Notamacropus eugenii: one gene and its partners. The main gene of each other region encodes a partner of the protein of the gene in region 2 in a complex. Links are inferred from orthologs where the notes say so. Each region holds a gene or a part of one and is shown on either strand. Other genes may lie near its edges.

What was found.
Region 1: LAMTOR5 (region 2) and LAMTOR3 share a complex: the UniProt entries of both Homo sapiens proteins name them as parts of the ragulator complex. The link is inferred for Notamacropus eugenii from reciprocal best matches to the Homo sapiens genes LAMTOR5 and LAMTOR3.
Region 3: LAMTOR5 (region 2) and FNIP1 share a complex: the UniProt entries of both Homo sapiens proteins name them as parts of the lysosomal folliculin complex. The link is inferred for Notamacropus eugenii from reciprocal best matches to the Homo sapiens genes LAMTOR5 and FNIP1.

The regions. Positions count from the first base shown.
Region 1 is NC_092878.1:137,825,851-137,833,712, forward strand, and holds the start of LAMTOR3 (ragulator complex protein LAMTOR3), read right to left. Parts: upstream 3,005-7,862; 5' UTR 2,911-3,004; coding exon 2,863-2,910; intron 1,784-2,862; coding exon 1,749-1,783; intron 1-1,748. UniProt on the Homo sapiens protein: As part of the Ragulator complex it is involved in amino acid sensing and activation of mTORC1, a signaling complex promoting cell growth in response to growth factors, energy levels, and amino acids.
Region 2 is NC_092873.1:288,911,797-288,919,896, reverse strand, and holds the start of LAMTOR5 (ragulator complex protein LAMTOR5), read left to right. Parts: upstream 1-5,046; 5' UTR 5,047-5,339; coding exon 5,340-5,524; intron 5,525-5,656; coding exon 5,657-5,718; intron 5,719-8,100. UniProt on the Homo sapiens protein: As part of the Ragulator complex it is involved in amino acid sensing and activation of mTORC1, a signaling complex promoting cell growth in response to growth factors, energy levels, and amino acids.
Region 3 is NC_092872.1:343,469,383-343,477,032, forward strand, and holds the start of FNIP1 (folliculin-interacting protein 1), read right to left. Parts: upstream 3,005-7,650; 5' UTR 2,933-3,004; coding exon 2,682-2,932; intron 1-2,681. UniProt on the Homo sapiens protein: Binding partner of the GTPase-activating protein FLCN: involved in the cellular response to amino acid availability by regulating the non-canonical mTORC1 signaling cascade controlling the MiT/TFE factors TFEB and TFE3.

The sequences.
Region 1 (7,862 bases), on a different chromosome or scaffold from region 2:
TTAACTCAATGTTAATTTTATCATGTCCAAGGTTTAGCTTTCAAGTGACCCTGTTGTCACAACTATGATCTGTTGCATTAAAATAGTCTTAAATTAGACCAGTCACAAGGAAGGCTAAGGCATAAAATCATCACCACTATGACTACAATTTGATGTACATGCCATACCTAAAGGTTAACAGAGGAGGGAACAAACACATTTATTTAACTGACCTACTGTTAGGCACTCTGGTGCTGTTTTGCAAATATCTCCAGGGGGAAGGGGGCCAGAAGGGAATATGTGTGTGCGCTATTATTATCCCATTTTTACAATTTAAGAAACTGAAGCTGAGATATGTTTAGAAATTTTAGTCTCTCACACACACACATGTGTATATATGTGTATACATATGTACACACATATAAATATACATACATATATATATATATACATATATATGTATATATATATATATATATATATATATATATATATATATATATATATATATATATATATATATATACACACATATATATATAGGAAATCAGGTCTTTAGAAAGATTTTAATTAAAGATGTTTCAACAGAAAACCCTTAACTACAGTCCAGTAACAATAAGCAACTTAGAAGCTTCTACCTTTATATCCATACACAGTGGACAGAACTCAGTTAATGAGCACTACTGTTTTCTATATGAGCAAGAGGCTTAGACAAAATTGCACAGGGCAGAAGGCAGAAAACGTAGTCTCCTTATTGATGACTCAGCCAGTTTGTTTCCTAGAAGAAATGCTGATATTTCCATTGCTGCTATTTGGTCCTGCCCAACCCTTTGTGACCCCATTTGGGGTTTTCTTGGCAGAGACACTGGATGGTTTGTCATTTCCTTTTCCAGCTCATCTTACAGATGAGGAAACTGAGGCAAACAGGGTGAGTGACTTGACCAGGATCACACAGCTTGTACATGTCTGAGGCAGGATTTGAATTCAGGAAGATGAGTATTCCTGAGCCCAGACCACTGCACCATCAAGCGGTACTATGATATTCCCTTGTGACCCCTTTGACCATTTAAGTTTTTTCAACCCAGAGAATTTTTCCATGATGTGTGGTATAAGAATAAAGTCAGAATTTAATTATATGTAATATTTTCACATAATGGGTTAAGTGATGTCTCATGGCATTTTCTCCTTCCCTATCTCTCAGGATCCAGTAGATCTGATAGACAGCTAGACAGATCTAGTTACCAGATAGCTCAGTCCTAACTCTCAGGAACTTTCTGAAGTTGCATTAGTAAAGGGAGCTTCCTTGTCTGGGAATTCCTATGTCACATAACAGCTCCAGTCTCTATTTCCTATTTTTAAAAATGTGCGCATAGGTAAACTGTATTTGAATTTAAAGTATAAAAGAAATCCAAATCTTTCTCATTAGTAGAACACCTCAGACGAACTTCCCTAGCAAAAGCAGAAAGGCTCAGTTGATAAATACTACATCTAACACCACAAGAGAAATAAGCTGGCATGGCACAAAAAAATGTCATAAATATGAAGCAAAGGCCATGATGAGAATGAAAAACATGCACATCTGCAAGCAGAATCATACTTTTCCTGTCTTTTCTGTGTGTCAATTTCATTTCCTTTCCAAGCACAGTATAAAAGCTTTACCTTAGAGTGAATCTAAAAGTGAAACGAATGTTGCGGTGTTTTTATTTTAAGGTGGCAACAAAGTGAGACTTTATGATTCAGAATTCAGGGTGACACTACTGATCCTTTACCTTGGTAACTTTTTGTAGAGGAATCTCTTCAAATCCTAGAAAAGGAGATATAAAGTCACGTTGTAACAAGATGTCACAAGGGGAAAATACAGTTTCAAACACTTAGGGAGTTCCTCAAATCTGAGTGAATGGTATTTCATAACTTCCCTCACCAGAGTCCCTAAATTTCCTAAAGCAAGTTTCAATTCAAACCCCATTCTTGAACTTCCCACAGGCCTGAACAATTCCTAGTTCAAACCTATTCTTATCCTTCCCACAAGCCTCAACAATTCCTGAACCCAGTTCACCAGCTTTGTCCTAAAGCTGCTATCCCTCATCATAAAACACCTCATAAAAGCAGAGTGCTGTGGGAAATACAAGGTCCTGACCTTCAAGTTTACAATCATATCCACCCAGAGGGAAAAACCAATAGTTTACATGTATACAAATCATTCATGATGGAGGGACCTTCCAGGTCAAATCTCAAGAAAGCTCTCCTATGTGTTGGAAGTTATTATCACTGCCATTTTTTTGATGAAACTGAAATATAAAGAAGTTAAGAAACTTGCTGACTCAGAGCCAGCCAAGGCCAGGCCCAAGGTGTGCTGGTGTTCAGTGCCCTCTGACTCTCCATGACCCTGTTTGGGTTTTCTTGGCAGGGATAGTGGGGTGGCTTCCCATTTCCTTCTCCAGCTCATGTTCCAGACGAGGAAACTGAGGCGGACAGGGTGAAGTGCCTTGTCCGGGGTCCCCCGGCCCACAAGCACCTGAGGCTGGACTGGAGCTCGGCTAGGTGAGTCTGCCTGGCTCCACGCCACCTCCCTGCCCCGGCCCCAAGTCCAGCACACCTTCGCATGGCCTCATCTGACCCTGCCCAGCTCCAAGGGACCCTACGGCGACCACTCCGGCTCCAATCCAACAGGACACACGCCTTCTTTTTCTGTCCCCGGCGCCTGTCGGACCGACCACCGGGCTACATAAGTCACTGCCCGGTGCTGTCGGGCGGCGGGGGCTTCCTGCGGTTAAAGAGGATCTGAGCTGCGCCAAGGCACGGCGGGGTGCGGGGGTGCGGGGGCGCCGGGAGCCCCGGGCCGGGGACAGGAACGGACCTTTGTAAAGCGCCTGCTGTACGCACCTGGGCACTTATGGAGCACCGACTATGGGCCCGGCTCAGGGGCACCATCCCAGGGGAAGGGGACGTGCCCCACGGCCCGCAGGGCGGAGGCCCCGGGCGTCCCTGCGGCGGGGAGGTCACCCCTCCCAGGCTCCGTCCCCCGCCTCCCTCCCCCGCGCGGCCCTCCCCCAGCTGGGGGGGGGTGGTCTCACTCACATCCGCCATGATGAGCCCCTTCCTCCCGCCGGGACGCTCCCCGCACCTGAAAGAGAAACACCCAGTGAAGCGGGGCGGGCCCGGGATCGCCTCCCCGCCCCCATCCCAGAGCGGCCGCCCCTCCCCGCCGTCAGGCCGCGAGGCCTACCTGGCTCAGGCTGCCGGGGCCGCCGCAGGTAGCTCCGACCGCCTCAGCCGCTTCCTCTGGAACCCGCGGTCACATGATTATCGCTCTCTCAGGAAGCTCGGTCGGAGCCCTGGCCCCGTGACACACTGCTTCCGGGGAAAGGGGTAAGGACACCGGAAGCGGCTTCCTTGGCCCCGCTGCCCGCGGGGACCTGCCACGAAAAAAGGCCTGCCCCCTTCTTCTTCCCCTCCTCCACCCGCGGAGTCCTGCGCATGCGCCAGACCCGCCCCTTGCGCTCCTCAGCCCGCCCCGGAGTTCTGCGCATGCGCCCCCTTCGTCCTTTCTCCCTACTCTTCCCACCTCTCAGCAGAATGCGGCGCATGCGCCTGTCTCTTTCCTACTCATCCAGGGAGGGACATTGAAGGAGTTTGCTAAAATGTTGCAGTCCCTCTGGCTGGATGCCAAGGGGCGCGTCAGGAAAACCACGCCTTAGATGTCCAATTGGAAGCATCCTCGACCTTCACTTTTTTTTTTCCATCATGTACCATCTGGGAAAGCCTTGGACCCCTGTCAGAGTCATGTTTTTAATGCATAAAATATTCATGAGATGACTAGGGAAAGCTTTCCCTCTTTCATTTCTTATCCTGCATGGAGGCTGATGTATACATATATGTATAATGTGTGTATGTATATATATATGCAGGTGTGTATATATGCATGTGTGCACATATGTGCATGTGTATATACATATACACATGTGTTTATAAGTATGTGTATATATGTATGTGTGTATATACGTGTGTTTATATGTATGTGTGTATAGGTATTGTGTAAGTATATGTATGTATATACATGTGTGTTTATGTGCATGCATATATTGTGCAAATATGTGTGCATATAGTGTATATGCATACATGTGTTTATATGTGTGTATATATGTACTGTGCATATATGTGTGCTCGCACACATACATGTTTATATGCACGCATATGTGTATATAGTGTGTATACATACATGTGTTTGTGCATGTGTGTGCAAATCTATATGTATATATGCATATATGTGTGTATATATGTATTGTGCAAATATATGTATGTGTGTATGTATATGCATACATGTGTTTGTATGCATGCGTATATGTATGTGTGCAAATATGTATGTGTATGTGCATGTGCGTTTATATGTATGGTATATATGCATTATGTAAATGTATGTGTGTATATACATGCTTATATGCATGCACATGTGTCTAGTGTGTACATATGTGTTCGTGTGTGCATGCATGTATATGTATCTGTGCACGTGTGTATACACATGCATGTGTTTATGTGTATATATTCATTGTGCAAATGTATGCGTGCACACATGTTTATATGTGTGCATGTATGCAAGTATGTGCACACTGTGTATACATACCTGTGTTTGTGTGTGCGTGTATGTGCACAAATGTGTGGTGTGCATACATGCATGTATTTATGTGTATATATGTGTGCAAGTATATGTGCAAATATGCATATATGTGTGTATATACATATATATTTGAGTGGTATCTCCATTTGATTGTGTTTCTTGAGGATAGGGACGGTCTTTTGCCCCTTTTTGTATCCCCAGTGCTTCGCAGTATTCCTGGCACATGACAGGTAATTAATAAATGTTCATGGAATTAAATCATATAGGTTGCTCTGTATTTGTTTGCATACTGTCTCCTCCATTAGATTATAAACTCCTTGAGGGCAGATATTGTCTTCTGCTTCTTTTTGTGTCTCCAGTGCTTGGCACATAATTTTGTGCTTGATAAATGTTTGTTGAATTAAATGTTGAAAGTGAGTTTTCGGGAACATTTTTTTTTAATTCAGGTACTTCAGATTAAGAAGCCTAGACTAGAGCTAAAAGGAACTGTAGGGCCATGGAGCCCAGCCCTCTTCTTGTATAAATGCCAAAAGTGAGGCCCAGAGAGGTTCAGTGACTTGTCCAAGGTCACATGATCAAGCAGTCAGCTGATAAGGTGAATCTATTTTGGTACTTTTAAGTAGATGCTTGGGCTTCACATATTTAAAAGAAAAATAAAGGAAACTGCCTGACTTCAAGGGCCTTATGTTCTGTGAGGGAGACAAAAGGTAGAGATAAAAATAGACTTAAAATATATTTTGAAAGTATGTAATAAGAGCTTGGATGGATTCCTATTGTAGCCACAGCTGGTCCTCTTTCCTGCCCCACCTTGGAGGTGTTTTACACACTGGGAGGGGAAAGAAGGGAAGGTTGTCATTAATGCTTTTCTGGAGGTCAGACTGCCTGTTGGTGGCTTTTTTCATTTCCTGATTTAGTGTCTTCAGGAGAGTTGTCTCTGATACCCTTCTTACTCACCTATTATGTGCTTTTACTTTTCAATTATTAAAGCAGTTTGAATTGGATTTTATGCTTCACAAAGGCTTGCTGTGTTTTGCTTTGCTTGTTTTCAAAGGAAAAGACCTTGAACCTGTGGAACCCAAGATACTTCTTCAAGAAGAGGGTATCAGTAATAGCCTTTCTGTAGGAGGGATTAGTGGCAGAGTAAGTACATTTCTTTCTGCTATACTGTAGAGAATAATTCAGGTTTTGAGTTTCTGGATCTTTTAGACTCCTAATTAATTTCCGTTTCCATTCTCCCCCAGCTCCACACCATCTATCATCCGATGCCTAGGTCATTTTTCTGCTCAAACATGTCCATAATAACACCAACTGTACAGTTTGATCCCAATCTTTACTTTCTTGCCTTATGTCAAGGGAGGTACAGAAGGTCATACACAGTCTTAGTAGGAACCAGAACTTGTGGACATGCTGAGTTTGGGATATTGGTGGGACAAGTAGGTAAACATTCCCTCTAGGTAGCTGAAAATCTTGTTCAGGAGCTGTGCAGAAATGATAAACCATAGGCTTAGAGACAGAAGAGACCTTCCTTACAGACCATATAGTCCAACCCTCACCTTATCGCTAGAAACTGAGAACTAAGGAAGTTACAGTGCTCTCTCTAACCACTGAGTTGAGTTGACATAATAGGTATCCACCATGGTCCCTTCCTTTCTGGCCTCTCTTGGAAGGCCCCTTCCCTCCTTGAATCTCTCAGACAGTTTTTGACTTTGCCTGTACACTGTGACTATTGATTACCTCTTCATCCTTTAACACCCAAGTCAAGGACCACTCTCTACAAAAAGTCTTATTAATACCTATTGCTAATTATTGCCCTTTGATTTCAAACAGTGCTTTGCTACACAAAAGGTCATACAAGCATTAAGTGACAGCACTGAGATTCTAAGCCTGCTTCTCAGACTTAAAATACATCACTTTTCCCAAGGTACCACGGTCGGAAATGCCTACTGTCACCTAGGTAAGGAATAGCCAGTACAATTTCTATCTCTGACTCCAAATTCAATGCTTTCTCCGTACCACCACATTCTGGTGGTGATTCTCCACCAATCTTCTTAAAATCCTAAGGTGACATATTAGGACATCCTCCATGATTCCTTCCCTTAGTAGGCCTCTCTCCTTCCTTGATTCTCTCGGGTCACATCTTTGACTTTCCCAGTGCACTGTCATTTTCTAACTTGCAAATGTTTAATCTCCATTTTCGACTGTAAGTTCGATGAAGATCAGGAACATTCATTTCTCATCTTTGTTTTTATCTTGCAGGATCAAAAGATTGATGGATTCAGAATTGGAAGGAATCTTACAGATCATCTGAATCAATCTCATTTTGTAGATGAGGAAACTGAGGTCCAGACGGGTTGTGACTTGTCAGAGGTCATGTAAGAAGTGGCAAAACCAGGACTGTGACTCCAAACCAAGTGCTCTTACCACTGCAATAATACTGTTTCTTTGCTTTGACCTATTATGCAACTGATTTGTGGATTGCATTCAGATTTTCTTTATGGCTTAAGTTTTGAAGTTTTAACAGCTTCTCTCTTACTTGACAAGTATTATCCCACATACCTGAAATGTCCTCTACCACTCCTGTTTTCTTCTCAATAAATAGTAAGTTTGGGGGGCAGAGCCAAGATGGTGGAGTAGAAAGACACACATATGCTAGCTCTTACCACACAGCCCATAAAATACCTGTAAAGAAGAACTCTCAACAAATTCTAGAGCAGCAGAAGCCACAGAACAATGGAGTGGAGGAGATTTCTATCCCAGAGTGACCTGAAAGATCAATGGGAAAGGTCTGTCGCACACAGGATGCAGAGCAGAGCCCAGCCCAGCCTTGGCCACGTGGGCACCAAGAGGAGCAGATCCAAGCAGGCTTCAGGGACAGAATCTTCAGTGGCAGCACAGATCCCTCAACACACAGGCTCCAAAGGTCAGTGAGTGCATCTTTTCTGCTGGCCAAGAAGGGAGCAGGGTGTCCCCATAACTCGGGCCTCCTCAGGAGGCAGCAGTAGAGGCAGCAGCGGACAAGGCTCCCAAAGCAGGCAGTAGCCTGAACCCATTGTTGAAGGTCTCATCATAAACCCCCTGAGGGAACTGAGCCCTGTATGGTGGGCCTGCCCCCACCTGAGCAGGTCATCTTAATCTCACACAGCTGATCTCAATCTTTAGGCACCCCCCCCTCCATCCCCCACCCCCCCCACCCCCCCACCCCCACCCCTCCCCCCCACCCCCCCCCCCACCCCCGGCCTAAAGTCCCTCAGGGTTTGGAGCAGTTCAT
Region 2 (8,100 bases):
ACCTTTGACAAGTGACCCTTTGAGGTAAAATTAGAGAGCTAAACTAATTACATGATGTCAAAGATTCCGTATAGCCCAAACATCATCTGATTCTGTGAAAAACTGGTGGTTATTTATTCTCTCAAGCCAGTAGCCTTCTTTTGTGATGTTGGATTGGTTTTGGCTATGGTCTTAGTGCCCTCTGGTGGCACATTGGGTTGCATGCCCCTCCCTCACACTGATGCACTCCACTGTAAGCACATCTCAGCTTCTAAAATAGTAATAGCCCTCCACCAGTCAGAAGATGCCCTCTAGTATCCATATATAACAAAGAGAAAATGGGGCATTCACTCATGACCCTACAAGAGATGAAGTCCCCAAAGGTAGTCTCTTTTCACAAACTGGTCAGGGTAATAAATAGAGAAGGCCCTGGAAAAATGGATACCTACAGCATTGGGTTTGGAGTCTAAGGACCTAGATTGAAACACCAGGCTTATATGTCTACTGGCAAATCGTTCAGTATCTCTGGTGCCGGTTTCCTCATCCATAAAAAGGAATTAGAATGAACTGTTCCTTCAGATTTGTGGTTATTATCTCTTGTCAGTTCTGTGGACTTGGTCTAGTAGTCCAAGCATTCTGGAAAACTGTTTGGAATGATGCGAGATAGTCCCTAAAACATTGGCATTTTTGACTCTGAGATTTCACTGTTGGTCCTATCACAAAGAAACATGCTAAGACTGGCATGAAATGACAGCGAGTGAAGATGTAAATGAAAACAACACAAGAGAAAGGTAACTAATTAAGTGTAACGACTAGTCTTCATTCTGGAGAAGAGTGGGGATGGGGTGTGGAATCTATGGACCAGTTTTACTCATTTTTCTTTGTTACAAGGGAAAGACATGGGGAAATTTTTATAAAGTAAAAAATAAAAGATGTTAAAACTTAAAAGAAAGGAAGGGGGAAAAAAGAAAGGTAAAATGAAAGAAGTCTTGGCTTTTCCTCCATTTCTTAACTTCATAACAAGACAACTTCTGGAAACTTCTCTTGTTCTTGGCCCTGCATTTATATTGATTTAGTACAGGATCTTTTTAGCCTTCAAAGGAATGGGTCAGGGAAGAAATGTGAGAGGCTAAGGATGGTTAAAGGACTAGAAGGCTTCTGAAGGTTCCTTAGCTTCTGACCCAACCATTCAACTGAAACTGTCCCCTTCAAAGCTTTCAACAAGCTTTTGTTGCTAAATCTAATGGCCGAATGGAGTGGGTAGGGCCACTTAAGATAATACTACACTACATAAAAAGAGGGAAGCTAAGTGAAAATACTGGACCTACTGTCAGAAAGACCAGAGCTAAAAATCTGACCTTGGATATTTGGGCAAGTCACTTAACCTATGTTTGTCTTACTCCACCAGAAAAGGAAATGGCAAACTCCAGTGTCTTTGCCAAGAAAAACCCATGGGCAAGATGGAGTTATGAAGAGTTGAACATGACTGAACATACATGTGATGGAGTGCTCAGACCCCAGCCCTAAGATCATGTCTCTGAAAACTTCCCAATTTCTCAGTGGACCCCTGTCCTCTGAGAAAATTTTCTCTTGTTGTAGAATACATTCTCTTATCAGAACAGACAGAGGGGTGCCTGGCCCAGGGATTTTTGTCCCTGGCTAGTCCAAGGACTCCCCTCACCACATCAGATCCCCACGGTCCATGCCTCTAAGAATTCCCTCAATGTCTGGTATGAACACAGCTATCTCTGCAAAGCTCCCTACATTTTCCCATCCATAGCTCCCAAAGACACCTTTGCATTACCTAATTAGAATCCTCAGTATCCTTTCCCTTGTCCCTTTTCCATATAAGTCCCAGCACCATCCTAACTGTATTATAGGTTCCTTTAAGGATCTTTGCCTGCTTTTGCTAAAGCTTTACTTTTTGCACTTGACTAAGAGAAGGCTTGAGTGTATGAATTCATTCTGCCTTGGCATTCTCAGGGTCCTAGCACTCCCAAACCTCATCACATGTGCTAGACAATGGAGATATAAAACTTTAAGACAGCTAGGTAGCATAGTGGATAGAATGCCAGGCTTGAAGTCAGGAAGACTCATCTTCCTGAGTTCAAATCCAGCCTCCTACACTTCCTAGCTGTGTGACCCTGAGCAAGTCCTTTCACTATGTTTGCCTTGCTTTCCTCATCTGTCAAACGAGCTGGAGAAGGAAATGACAAACCACCCCAGTATCTTTGCCAAGAAAACCCCAAATGGGGTCAGGAAGAGTCAGACGTGACTGAAATGACTAAACAACAACCACCACCATCCCTGTAGTAATCCAAATTTGCAGTGTCTCAGTCATCCTCAATTCCTCCCTTGCCTTTCTCCTTACTCATTTGTTGAATCAGTCGCAGAGTCTGCTTGAACAACATCTGTCATAAGCTGTTCCATCTCTGCTCATTGTCTCTTGAGGCTATTGCAGTAGCTTCCTAACTACTCCTCCAGTCAATTCATCCTTGACTTAGTTGCCAAAGGGATATTCACTCCTACAGCACTGGCCTCACCAAGAGACTCCTCTACAAATGAAGTTCTAATGGGCTCCCAAATGCTTCTAGGATGAAATACCTGTTGGGGTTTTGAATTTAAAACATTTAAAGCCTGTTAGAATCTAGCCCCAGCTGACCTTTCCAGGCTGTTGACCTGAAAACTTGGTTAAAGAAAAGGCAGCAGGCTAATGCATACATTTTATGATTTAATTAATTAATCAATTCCCTATTAAAGACAACGGTAACATAATGCATTATGGAGCCAGAAATGTTCTGGCTACCCAGTGCAGAAATCTTCTGGCTTATATACATTTTGCCATGAGAAAGGAACTCTCCTAGTTGAACAAATCATAAATTCAGTAAGACAGGACAATTAACAAAGTAATGTTGGTCAGGCCTTGGGATTCCAGCTGGGTAAACATATGTCTTGGTGATAAAGAAGGAAATCCCACCACTAGTAAGTGGCAGGCTTCCTGCCCTAAACAGATAACTGACATAAGAAAGGGTAAACAAAGTTCAATAGAAATTACGACCTAAGATGTCTGTGTTTTCTTTACCATTAACATGCCATAACATAGTGTAGGTCTACAAATATTAAGATATGGAAAACGTCCCATTATTCAAGATAGTGTCTTAGGTTAAAGGTCTCCTTAAGGAATGTAGAGTCAGCCTTGGCTGGCTTTTGCTGACATAGGAAGAGGCACCCTCTGAGTTTGCTTCAGAGAGAACAAAGAGATTATTCTAAAATTTTATATTAAACATTATCAAGGCTCACTAAATATTATTACCCTTCCACATACTCTGTGCTCTGTATAACTCAGTGGTTCTCTCAAAGTGTGGTTCAGGAACCCCTCAAATCCCTGAGACCATTTTGGGACACCTCCTTTCAGGAAGACAACAAAATAGAAACTATTTTGTAATAATACTAAGATGTTTTCATTTTTAAAATGACAAATATTGATAGATGTTTGAAGGGAAGGGTGACGGAAGGGAATCCAAGGGAAAATCCAAGGTGACGTGAAAAAAATAATTAGCAAAAATCTATTTTAATAAAATAGTTGGTAGCTTTGGAGAGGATAATTTCATTTGAATGACAGAGCCTGAAGCTAGCTTACAAGTGATTTAAAAACTGAGTGAAGAAGCTTACTAACCAGTATAGACAGCTTTTTATAGGAGTTTCTATGGAAAAATGAAATTAAAGGTTTGTTTTGATTTGTTTTTTTAAGGGTAGGGAAGACCTGGGCATGTTTGTAAATGGTGGAGTAGAAGCCAGTGGAAGAAAACTTCAAGACAAGAGAAGGATGGAAGAAAGGATTAGAAATTGAATAGAGAACAGGGGTGGAGCATCGGTTTTAGCCATGGGGCATTTCTGAAATGGTGTAACACTTGTCTTGTCCCATCAGTCCATCAATTAACATTTATTAAGGGGCTGTTCTATGACAGGCACTGTGCTGAGTGGGGGTACAAAGAAAGGCAAAAAGAAATCAGTCCCTGCTCTCAAGGAGTTCACAGTCTAATGGGGGAGAAAGCATGCCAACAATAAATTAGGGGTCATCTCAGACACCAAGATCAAGGGGGACGGTGGGAGGGTTTCCAGCACAAGGAGGGACTTTGGCTGATTCTGGAAGGCAGGAGGGGTGGAGATGAGGAGAGCGAGACTTGGAGGCATGGGAGGCGGAGAGTGGAAACCCTCTCCCCGGGGAGATGCAGGGTTGTGCGGGAGGGGGAGCAAAGCAGGGTCAGACCAGAGGTGGGCGGGGCTCGCTCCAGGTGTGGGATACCTGGACAGGTGGCCAGGAGCCAGGTTGGGAAGGGCTTTGGAAGCCAGACAGGGGCTGTTTCTGTGTGATCGTGGAGGACAACAGGGAGCCACAGGAGGGTGCTGAAGAAAAGGCTGTTTTGAGAAAAACGCTTTGTAAATCTTAAAGCCCCGCAGAAATGGGTATTTTCGCACTCACGTCAAGTAAACCGGGAGGGCTGGACTGGTTTAGTTCCGAGGGTCTTAGCCTGAGGTCCGAGAACTGGGTTTTTTAAACGTGTGTATGTATATGACCACAGAAGTGATATGAATGTATATGATGATCGAAGGTATGTGTACAGACCGTTTACTTGTAATTGTTACATATGTGTATTTTAATGTTTTCTATATTAGGCGTATTTATAGATGTCATAGTGTTACATCTCTATAAATTACATTTTTATATTTTTAAAATAGAAATTACATATATGTATGTTTATGTATACACGGATCACTTTCAGGGTTATTTCCTTTGTAGTCTTGTGTATTTTATTTCACACACTTTAAAACATGATTCTAAGGGGTCCGTGGGTTTTGCCATTAGTTCGAGGGCCCAAAGAGCGAAAAAGCCCTCTTCCTGACATTTTGGAGAGAAGGAAACTGAGGCAGGGAGGGAAGGGAAGTGACTGCCCCCGGGTCACGCGGTCGGCGGCAGGGCCCACTCTGCACACGTCCCCTCCCATCCAGGCCGAGGCTAATTCTGCGTGAGGCGCCGCCCAGGGTGTAGGGCGGAGCTCGCCACCGTGGGGGAGGGGAGGGAGGGAAGTCCGGGAGCAATAGGCGGGGCCCCTCGCCCCTCCTCCTCCCCCCACCCTTCTCGGCGCTGACTCGAGGGTAACCATGACAACCGGAGGCCTTGACGCCCAGAGGACGCTCCTCCGCCGCCAGAGGTCTTGGAGGTGGCTTCCCCTCCCTGCCAGTGAGGGCCCCGTGGATACAGTACCCTACTGGGCGGCGTCTGCGCAGACTCCAGACTCCTGACACAGAGAGGAAGAGGTGGGGAGAGGGGAAATGTTTTTAATTCCTAACGCGAGTTGATGATTTTTGTCCCGTCGGAAGCCCCGTCCCGCGGCTGTTGCGCCGTACCTGCTGAAGCCGCGTGGTTGCATCACGTGGCCAGAGGAGGGCGGTCACATGACGCGACGTCCCGTGAGCGGCCTGGACTCAACTTACTGTCAAAACCCGAGATGGAAGCGACCCTGGAGCAGCACCTCGAGGACACGTGGGTAGTGTGGGCACGGGCGGGCCGGGCACTTCGGTGGCCTAGTCGAGGCCCGGTCCCGGAGGGAAGACGTGGGAGGTGTGGGGGGCCGCCCGGTTCGCTCCTGTAACCTCGGCGTCTGGTCTGTGTTAGGATGAAGAACCCGTCCATCGTCGGCGTCCTGTGCACGGACTCGCAGGGACTGAACCTGGGCTGTAAGTAGCGCCTTGGCAGGGAGCTTGTGCCCGGACCGGGGGCGGGGGCAGGCACGGGCCTCCGGTGTGCCGGACGCGCCGGGGATGCGGAAGGAGGTCGGGGTGGCTCCCGCCCCCGAGGATGCCGCGTTCTAACGGGGGAGGACCACCGGCAGGGGGTTGTGGATAAGAAAGAAGGTAATCCTTCGAGCAAGGCCCCACCCCCGGGGGCACGAGCAGGGGAAGCCTCCGCGGAAGATGGGACTCCCCCACTTAGGATACGGGGTGCCCCGGGGGAGAAGAGCCGAGGCCGCGTCCCCAGACCTTGGGGGCCCTGTTGGCACAGGTGTTCTCTAAGAAGGGCATCGACAGGTGGTGTACGTGCTGATGGGCCAGGTGCCCGGTTGGCCCATAGGTTGATGTCGTTGCATTTTAGCAGGGGAGGGAGGGCTACGTCTCCCTAGTACTTAAAAAAGTGTGTGGTTTCACTGTGTAGCTACTCATTTCACTGTAGAAAACGTTGGTCTTTCTTTAACCTGGGGTGGAGGATTTTTGTGAATTGTCCCTGGTTTGTTACATAATCTCAGGTGGGTCCTCGAGGCAGTCTTCTAACTCTTGCCCATCTCCACCTGTCCCGTCTGTCCTTCCTTGCTTGGGTGTCTTTGGAAGACACAGCCCTCCCTAAAAAGGCCCCCAAGCTCGGCTTCAAAGAGCCTGTTTCATCAGTTATTTCCGAATTCTGGTCTTAGGGTATGTAACTAGGGATTATTTGGGAGATTACTTAGGACGGGGAGGACTTCGTTGCCTCACCCCACTCCACCCCCTATCATTTTACGTTTATTCGCCCATGCCCTCCCCCATGCTGCCATTCTTTTTCAGTGCCTGACTTCTTGGGAAAATTGTCTGTATTCCAGACCTCTGTTTCTTTACCAGACACTCATTTCTGGACTACAGGTAATTGGGCTTCCTCCAAGGTTACCAAGGATCTCTTTACCTGCTGAATCCAGTGACTTTTCCTCAGTCCTCCTGCACCTTGATTTCTCTGAAGCTTTGACACTATTGACCATCCTTTCTTGAATATATTCTCCTTATTTGGATTCCGTGGCATTTCTCTCTACTGTTCTTCTTGTCTGCCTTCATCCTATGAAATGTCTCTCTTGCTGAAATGCCGTCCATCCCCTACCTCCTTTACTGTGGCTGACCCTCTACAGCTGTTCTGATTCCTCTTCATGGTACATGTTCTCCTTGGTATCATCTGTTCCTACAGGTTCAGTGTATCTCTACACTAAGGACTTGTTTCCAACTCACACCTTTTCCTAAATTCCATTTCTACATTATGGAAGCCTGATGTTTGACAGTGTGTGGCAAACTTAACTTGTTCAAAACAGAATTGTTTTCATCTTGAAACCTTTTCCCCTAAAATTGCTCATCCTTGGTTTTTCCTTCTCCCTCCCCCCCCCCACTTGCCAACTCCTGTTTGTTCTCCCATCCCTTGTCATCACTCAGAATGGCTACCACCCTAGTTCAGATCTTTATTGCTTCTTGCCTGCACTTTTGTATTGTAATAGCCTCCCAGTCTCTCCATTCTCCTTTCAGCTGCTAAAAGTACTTTCCTAATTCAGATCTGAGCATGACACTTTTCCTCAAAAATCTTGTGTCTCCTCATTGTCTAGAGCATAAAGTACAAACTCCTTAGCCTTGAGCCTCCCATAATAACAACTGACACTACTTTATGGACATTTTATTTGGACCTCAGAACAGTCTTGTGAAGCAAGCCCCGCAGGTTTTATTATACTCCATTTTACAGCTGAGTAATCTGAAATTCAGAGAAGTTCAGTAGTTTACCTGTGTTCAATTAATGTATCTATCCCCTTCAGTGTCTATCCCCTGAATCATTCTGTGTCTCAGCCTGGCTTATCTTTGTTGCCTTGTTTCTTTATATTCTGCTTCATATGCTCTGTATTCCAGCCATGTTGGCAAATTATCTATTTTCAGATCTTGGCATGCCATTTCCCATCTCTAATTTTGCACAGGCAACCCCCCCTCCCCACTTCCCACCACCACCTTTGTAAAGAGACTCCTTTCTCATTGTTACCTCTTAAGAGTTACTTGATGGCTGCTTCTAAGGTTCTACTGTAGTACCAACTCTCATAGGAAACCTTTCCTCTCATCTCCCCTACCATGTTAGTGTAACCTCCTTTTTCATTTATCATGTGTTGAAGTTGTGTACCTTTCATAAAATAAGCTCCTTGAGGACAGGGACTATGTTTTTGTTTTTTTCCAGTATTCCTAGCATAGGGCTTTGCACATAATAAGCGCTTAACAAATGTTTATTTAATTGATATGCTGTAGCTAAAAAAAACCGGACGGCCAAACATTGTTTTCATCTCTGAAATGAGCTTG
Region 3 (7,650 bases), on a different chromosome or scaffold from region 2:
ATGAGGAAAGAATGAAGTGAGAAGGGAACAAAAAGACCGGTAAAAGTAGTAGCAGAAAAAGATTTCTAATATATGATAGCCAAAGTCTAGGATTGTGGGGAAGAAAATCAGGCACTTGACTGGGGCAGCCTATAAGGGATTCCAAACAATCCAGAAGTAATTATTAGGTGGCTATTACATGTCATGTAGGAGAGGGAGAGATACAAACACCCAAGTGAAATTGTTCCACTCTTAAGGAGTATATAAGCATGCACAAAATACTTTTTATTTATCAAAATTACTTTTGAAGAGGAAAGCACTAGCTACTGGGGAAATAAGGAATGACCATACAGGAGCTAATGCTTAAGCTAAATTCTGAAGGAAACAGAGATCAGTCAATAGTAAATAAACATTTATTAAATACCTATGATAAGGAAGCATTACACTTCAGGCATGGAAGATAACCAGTGTTCTATTCACTGGAATAGGGGACTTGGCTCTACTGTACTAAGGCTTTCAGTGGTGGGACTGTGACTCTGGCACCTTACTTGACTAGGACTATTTTGTCTTGGTAAGTTGAACAAGGTTTTTTTCTCCTGTAGGTGCACCAAAGTTCACTTTTTATACATGGTCCAACATGCTTGAGAAATTGGTAGCAATTCCTTCTGAGTTGGTAAAGGAGAGACTTTCCCCAGGTTTCTGGGTGAGGACATGATCAAGGTAAAGAAAATATTCCTTAAAATATAACTGAGGTCCCCTGTTCCAAGTTTGGCAGTAATTTTAGAACCCCCCCCAAAATCCATCATACATGATCATATTTGAGACAGCATAAGAAAAGGAAGAGATCATTTTAGATAAGGGTAATGACAGAAGGCATCAAGAAAGAGCCTCCCTTGTGCAAGACTCTTTTCTCCTATCACTTTTACAATGTTTCACGTTACCTACAGTGAGTTGCCTTGATTAACCTTGATTAGAACTCAGGGAAAAAACTGAGTTTGAGACAGAAATAGCTATAGCTTTAGGCTGAAAGTTAGTATCTGAGTCACTTACTTTGATGAAGTCATGCTTTTTAAAATTTTGATATAATAAGAAAACTCAGATTATATGGGAAAATGAACTCTTGAGGGGAAATGAGGGGGAAAAGTTCTTAACAGATACAAAGAACTTCTTTGAATGGAAGATACTATATAAAAATCTGCACCTAACATTATTATTCAACCAAATTAAACAGGCATTTATTAGGTGTTGCTATGTACTATAAAGATGTTTTTCAGGTATAAACGTTTTAGCATCTGTGTACCTCGTTCAGAAAACAAAAATAGATTTCTGACAGTTGTCTGATCTTAATATGCCACCAATTTCACACCCCAATTATTTTTTAGCCATTTTCAATTTTGTGTCAATAGATGCAGGAAATGTAAAGGGTTTTTTTTTTTAATTTCGTGTTTTTTTTTAAAGGGAAGGTACTAGAGAAACTTTTAGGAGTCCATGGGAGTATGGCAGTAGATTGGATGGCATATGGAAAAACATTAATGAGAGAAAATTTGTATATTTTTGCCACATACTTTCAAAATGTTCAGAACTCGATTTTTTTCTTAAAACGCTATATAAATGCTATTATTATGAAACATAAAATTCTTTTACTTTTTGCTCAAAGTACTTGTTCTCTTCCCTCTTATGCCCTTCCCCCCTTCCTAGACTGGTACTAAACATCCTAATCCAATTTTTTTTTTAAATTGGCTATTTGACAAGTTATAATTCTATCGCAACCAGTTTTACAGAACTTCTTAATCGGTGAGTTCTAAAGCAAAAGTTCTTTTTATTAACAGTACTGCGTTTGGAATACTTGATTCAATTCTGTTGAGGTTAAATCATGACAGAATTGGTAGTAACCTTAGACTGCTATTGGCAGCTTATGCATTTTACATTTCTTCTTCTATAACATTGAGGTCGCTCAGTCAAATAACACCCTTGCAACTGCAATTTCCAAGAAAGCCAAGAGAAGCGCGTCGGGGCTCCATCTCCCCCCTGCTTCCCCTTCCTCTTGGACCCCTCCCTCCTTCATTTTATTGAAGTCTGCCCCAAATCTTCAACAACGTCTCAAGTGGAAAGCACAGCGGTTGGCGAGCATGGGGAGGTGGACGGAGGGGGGAGAGAACTTCTTTCGCCGAGAGAAAGGGGTACCGATGTAAACAGGCGGCTTCAAAGGAAGCGGGGCTGCTTGAGAGAAGTAACTGCAGGACTCCTTCTGCTTCGGCAACCGCTCAACTTTTTTGCAAACAGGAAGGTGATGAAAATACCAACTGCCCGGGCACCTCAGCGGTGGCAGGCACCGCGTGGAGGGGGTGGGGGACCTAAACAAACGATCGGTGACCGGGCGGTGGGGGAGGAGGTGGGGGTGGGGCCGGACGGCTGACCCGCGGGCAGAGCATCCTCCCTCCCGGCCACCCACCCGGCCAAGCCCACTCCGCGAAAGCCAGAAGTTGAAAGGGGGAGGGGGGAGCCCCGCAATCTCGCGCCCCCAGGGGACAAAGCCACCGACCCGGGCCGCCCAAGTTCCGGCTCCGGGAAGGAGGCGGCAGCGGGCCAGAGGCGGGACAGTCACGGGTGTCCAACTTTGCGCTCCCCGCTCCGGGGACGGCGGGGACTCGCGGGGGGAAGGGGCAGGCGAGGCTGGGAGCAGCTGGAGACGCCGCCCTTACCTGCACACGCAGTCGGGGTCCCGGGCGTCCCGGCCTGGGGAACCCAGTCCGCTCCTTTTGTTGAACAGCTTCTGGAAAAGGGTCGGGGGCATCTTGGCCGGCTCAGGTCCGGCCGCGCCAGGCCCAGCGCGGCGGGGCCGAACGGCACTGGATCTTTCCGAGGAGCCCCGCGAGTGGCAAGATGTGTACGGCGAAGGGGGCTGCGGGGACCTGGGCCCCTTCGGGGAGCAGCGAGAGCAGCCGCGGAGCATCTAGTTCCGCCCAGCGGCCGCCGCCCCCATTGGTGTCACAGTCATATGACAGAAATTAGTCACTTCAAACTGCCACAGGAGGCGGAGGGGAGAGGGGCGGGGCGAGCCCGCCTGCCGAGAGCCTCCATTGGCTGGCGGGACCCCTCACATGGCAGCCAAGGGCTGGCCGGGTACGCGCAAGGGGGGAAGGGCGCCAGGGCGCGCGCCTCCGGGACCGCGCGAGAGGTTGGGGCGGGGCGCGCCGGGCGGGCTGCGGGGATCCTTCGTTCCTCGTCTCGTGAGCTGGCCTGCTCTGCGCAGCCGCGGGAGGAGGAAAGCGCTCGTCCTGAAACCTGGCAGGGGAAGTGTTCTCTCTAGAGCCGGGGGTCTCTCTTCTGGCGGAGACAGCCAGGGGCCGGAAGGGACGGAGAGAAACGGCAGCGGAGGGAGAGTAAACACCGATGTGTGTGGCGGCCCCGCAGAAGGCTCCACACCCCCGCTTCCCTCTCACACGCTCATCCCTGCTTCCTCCGTGCATAGAAGGGGCAACCCCGGGCAAGGGAACCCCACCCTTGAGCAAAAAGCAGCCCCGGAACCCCGCGGACCCTCCGCTAGACTCCACCCGTATTTAGACGGGGGTTCCCCAAGTTCGGAGAGAGAAAGTCTGGACACGTAACCTTTGCCCTCGTGGAGCTCGCACGCATTCTGGGGTGCACGTGTGCAGACACCAGGTCACGTGCCTTATTAACTGCACTGGAGAGGGGCAAAACCAGATGCTACGAGTGTTAGTGGGGGTTTGTGGGGGATGGCCGGCCAGGGAGAAGCTTCCGGAAGAGGTGGCCCTTCATGCGGAGGGCTTTTGACTCAAAGCTGGGGGGACCACGGTGGGGGTGGGGGTGGCGGGGAGGGGGGAAGCGGGACTGGAAGGTCTGTCTTTCGGGGGATAGAGAGGAGCCCAGTTCGGCCGGACTGTGGAGAGCGTGAAGGGCAGTAATAGGAAATACAGGTGGAAAGGTAGTCAGTTTGGGTATCAGATAATATTCGAATATAACTGGATAGACAGTAGGAGGAGCTCTTGAAGATTTGGAAGTCTAGGAAGTGACGTCAGATCCAGGAGGGTTCATCTGACAGTTATATACATGCACACATGTTATGTATGTTTATGTATGTATAATGTGCGTGTGTAGATATGCGTCTGTGTACATAAACACATGTAATACATATGTATGTGTATAGTATAAAAATGGAGAGAGTGTATGTGTATACAAAATTAAATGCAGCTTCAAAAACTTTGTAGTCTTAGGCAAGTCTGTTTGCCTCGGTTTCCTCATCTGTAAAATGGGGGTAATGCACCTAGAGCAACAATCAGGGTTGTTGGGAGGATCAAATGAAATCATATTTGTAAAGTGCCCCCGTACATAGGCATATATAAATGTTAGCTATTCTCATTATTATTATTAAAGAAGGAGGTGGAATATGTCATAGGTTAAACTGATAAATGACTTGGTAACCAAGATCTGACTGTGTGCTGAGGACTGTTAGGGTGTCAGAAGTGAAGAATACCAGGAAACCCCAAATCTACCATTATGTCTGAGAGAATGCTCCAGACAGCCAGACTAGGGGTAGTTTGGTGTGATTGTGCCCAGTCTGTACTCCAAAACCATCATCTTCCCCTATATTTCATTACAACTTTCCTGTGCACTTAGAATTATATTTTGTGTTAGAGTGATTTGGGAACATGTCTCTGATCCCTAAAGGAAGATATTTTTATTTATCTCTCTATCCCCAAAGGACCCTAGCAATGCTCTGTACATATATATACATATACATACATACATATATATATGTACATATGTCCTTCCAACAATGCAGATGGGCAACCCATTCATGCTTTCTCCTTCTGTGCAATTCTTGTTCATGTCCTATAAATCCCCTAACAGGCTTTTTGAATTGGACTGACCTGAATATCAACTGAAGAGAACCAGTAATCTTACTGCTTTATTAAATTAGGCTCTAAAATTTAACAGGGTATTATTGACTGGAAGAAGTCTAAGAACCTTAGAAATTATGAATGTGTAGAGCAGGAAGATAGTTTATGGATGAACAAACTTAAGTTCCAGAGAAGAAGTTAATTTAACCTAACTCAACAATGGTTCCTGAGAGTGTGTTGACAATTTATATCTGAGTGTGAAAAAGGCCTGTGGTTTCATGAGCACAGACAAGTCCTGGCACATAAACTTTTTTCACCAAGGCAAATCACAGTCCCTTTTTTAGTAGATAAGACATAGATAGTTAGTTGTTTGAACCACATAAAGGTTTAAACAACTTGCCCAGAGCTACACAGCTAGTACTCAGAGGCAGGATTTGAACCCAGGTCTGCATGACTCCAAGTCTAGCATTTTATGAGATAGATAGGTTGGTAAATAGATAGGCAGAGAGCAAGCTCTTACTTTGTATCGAGGACTGTGCCAAGTGTTAAGGATACAAAGACAAGTAAACAAACCCTTAGATGCCCAATATCTTCTTCCCTACCAACCCCAACCACTCCAAATGCACTATGGGAATTTATACTAGGGGAAGACAACATATAAAGGTGTGCTGGAAAGCAGGTAAGTGGAAATGCAGTGTCATATAGAGGCTTCAGGAAAGTGACAGAGAGGCCTGGTCCAAGGCAAGATAAAGTCAAAGCTCTTTTTATCATAGTCCAGGGATGCAGAGGCAGAGTCCAAGGTTCTGGTATCTTTAGAACAGGTGATATGATATAGAGAGCACACAGAAGTGGCACTAAGTCTCTTTCACTTTACTGAAATTCAAGTTACCACAAGTTTGCTCAACTCTAATTATATGAAGGACACTGCCTTCATATAGTTTGCCACCTAGTAACTGTTATGTAAAGTTACATAAACTTTACATGTCATTTATCATATAAACTATGGAACAAAAATCATGTACTATGCATTTAGCATAGAGCAAAATGTGAGAAGATGTTAAGTGTTCTTCTGGAACTTAGGCCTCTAGAGTCCAAGATGTTATTTTTTTACTTTAATCTCCACAGTTGTTAGGACAGTTCAGGACAATAATATTGGGGAGCCTAAGTTGACTGCAACTTGCAACCATAACCCCTTGGCCTTTTTCAACTCCAGTGAAGTGATTCTGCCTTTTAAATGAAGTCTCTGTCTCCCTACCCCACCCCCAAACCCCTCTGTAATATATTCCTTTTAGCCCCCCCCAAACACTTTAAATCCTGTTGAGTCAATGTAATAAGACACAGAAGGAAAAGCTTCCAAGTCTGTGATATAAAACCCAAAGCAACAAAAACTGACAATGATACTATCAACATGAATATTAATATTTGCCAAGATTAAAAACAAACAAGATTGGGTAAAGTACACAATTTGTGAGTATATACCTTTTCATTATCTGTCCCCACTGCTTAGAATGCTCTCCTACCTCACCTCCACCTCCTAACTTCCTTTAAGATGCAGCTCAACTCTCACCTCCCTACAAGAGACCTTTCCTGGTCCCCTCAAATCCTTTACAAGGGCAGTCCCTCTGAGATTACCTCTCATTTACACTGTTATATTTTGTATGTACATAGTGGTCTGCATTTTCTCTTTCTCATTGGACTGTGTGGTCCTTGAGGTCAGGGACATTGTTTTTACCTTTATTTTTATCCTCATCTATTTAGTACAGTGCCTGTGATGTAGTAAGCAGCTTGATAAATATTTATTGTTGTTCATAATGATGTTGGATAGTGGGGTGAGGAAGAGACAATTTCAAATCAAGAAACAAAGGCAGCTCTTCAAGGAAAGGTGTCACTTCAACAAAAACCGCTGGGGGATGAGGAGAGAACTTCCAAGTCCCATGACTACCAAGATAAAAGAATAGACATTTTCTTTAATCCTTATAACCTCTCAAACTAAAGTAAGAAGTATGTGGAAGAGATAAAGCAATTGCAAGTGTCTCCATGTCTGAGACACCAAGAACTCTAAGAATGTAAGAACTGCATCAGAGAAGGTCAAACCCTATAATATCTCCCTCACCAGCCTAGCAGGCTCATAGACAAGCTCTGGGATCTGCTTAGCAGTTCCCCTGCTGTTGTGGTTTCTGCCTGCTGAACCCAATGATCCCCCAACTCCATCCTTCTAAGGCAACAAATAGGCAACAGATCTCAATTCGGTCCCACCCTCCCTGGGACTGAAGGAGGCCAAGATCCACAAAAGCTGGAAGGTTGCTCAATCTGGTATGTGTGTGATGTACTACAGCAATGGCAGGGCTCAAGAGAACTAAGGGACAGAGGAGGAAGGTCAGTGTGTGTGTGCGTGTGCGGAGACTACCCTAGGCCAAAGGGAAAGAGGACTTAAATAAAACAGGCCATTTCTGTCCCCAAGACATCTGAGACTAAGACCACTGAAAAGTAAATTCCTCAGTGAGGTTTAGCCCCCAGAGTCAAAGTGAGGGGCAGGGAAATATAAAGCAAAAGATTGAAATGCCAATGACCCTAGGTGAAAGAAACCATTAAAAACCTTGAGCACAAGTAAATAAACTGACAGGGTAGAGAGGAAGATTGCCTCCAGATCACATAAATGAGTCCAAAAATCCCTAAATGCAAGATAAGGGAAAATGAATCAAAACCTGATAAGGCATGTGGATTCCCAGCAGAGAACCAAGGGATCATTCACAGTGCTTCAAGAGAGAAAAAATATGAAAGCAAAACTTACAGTCTGAATGTCAGTCAA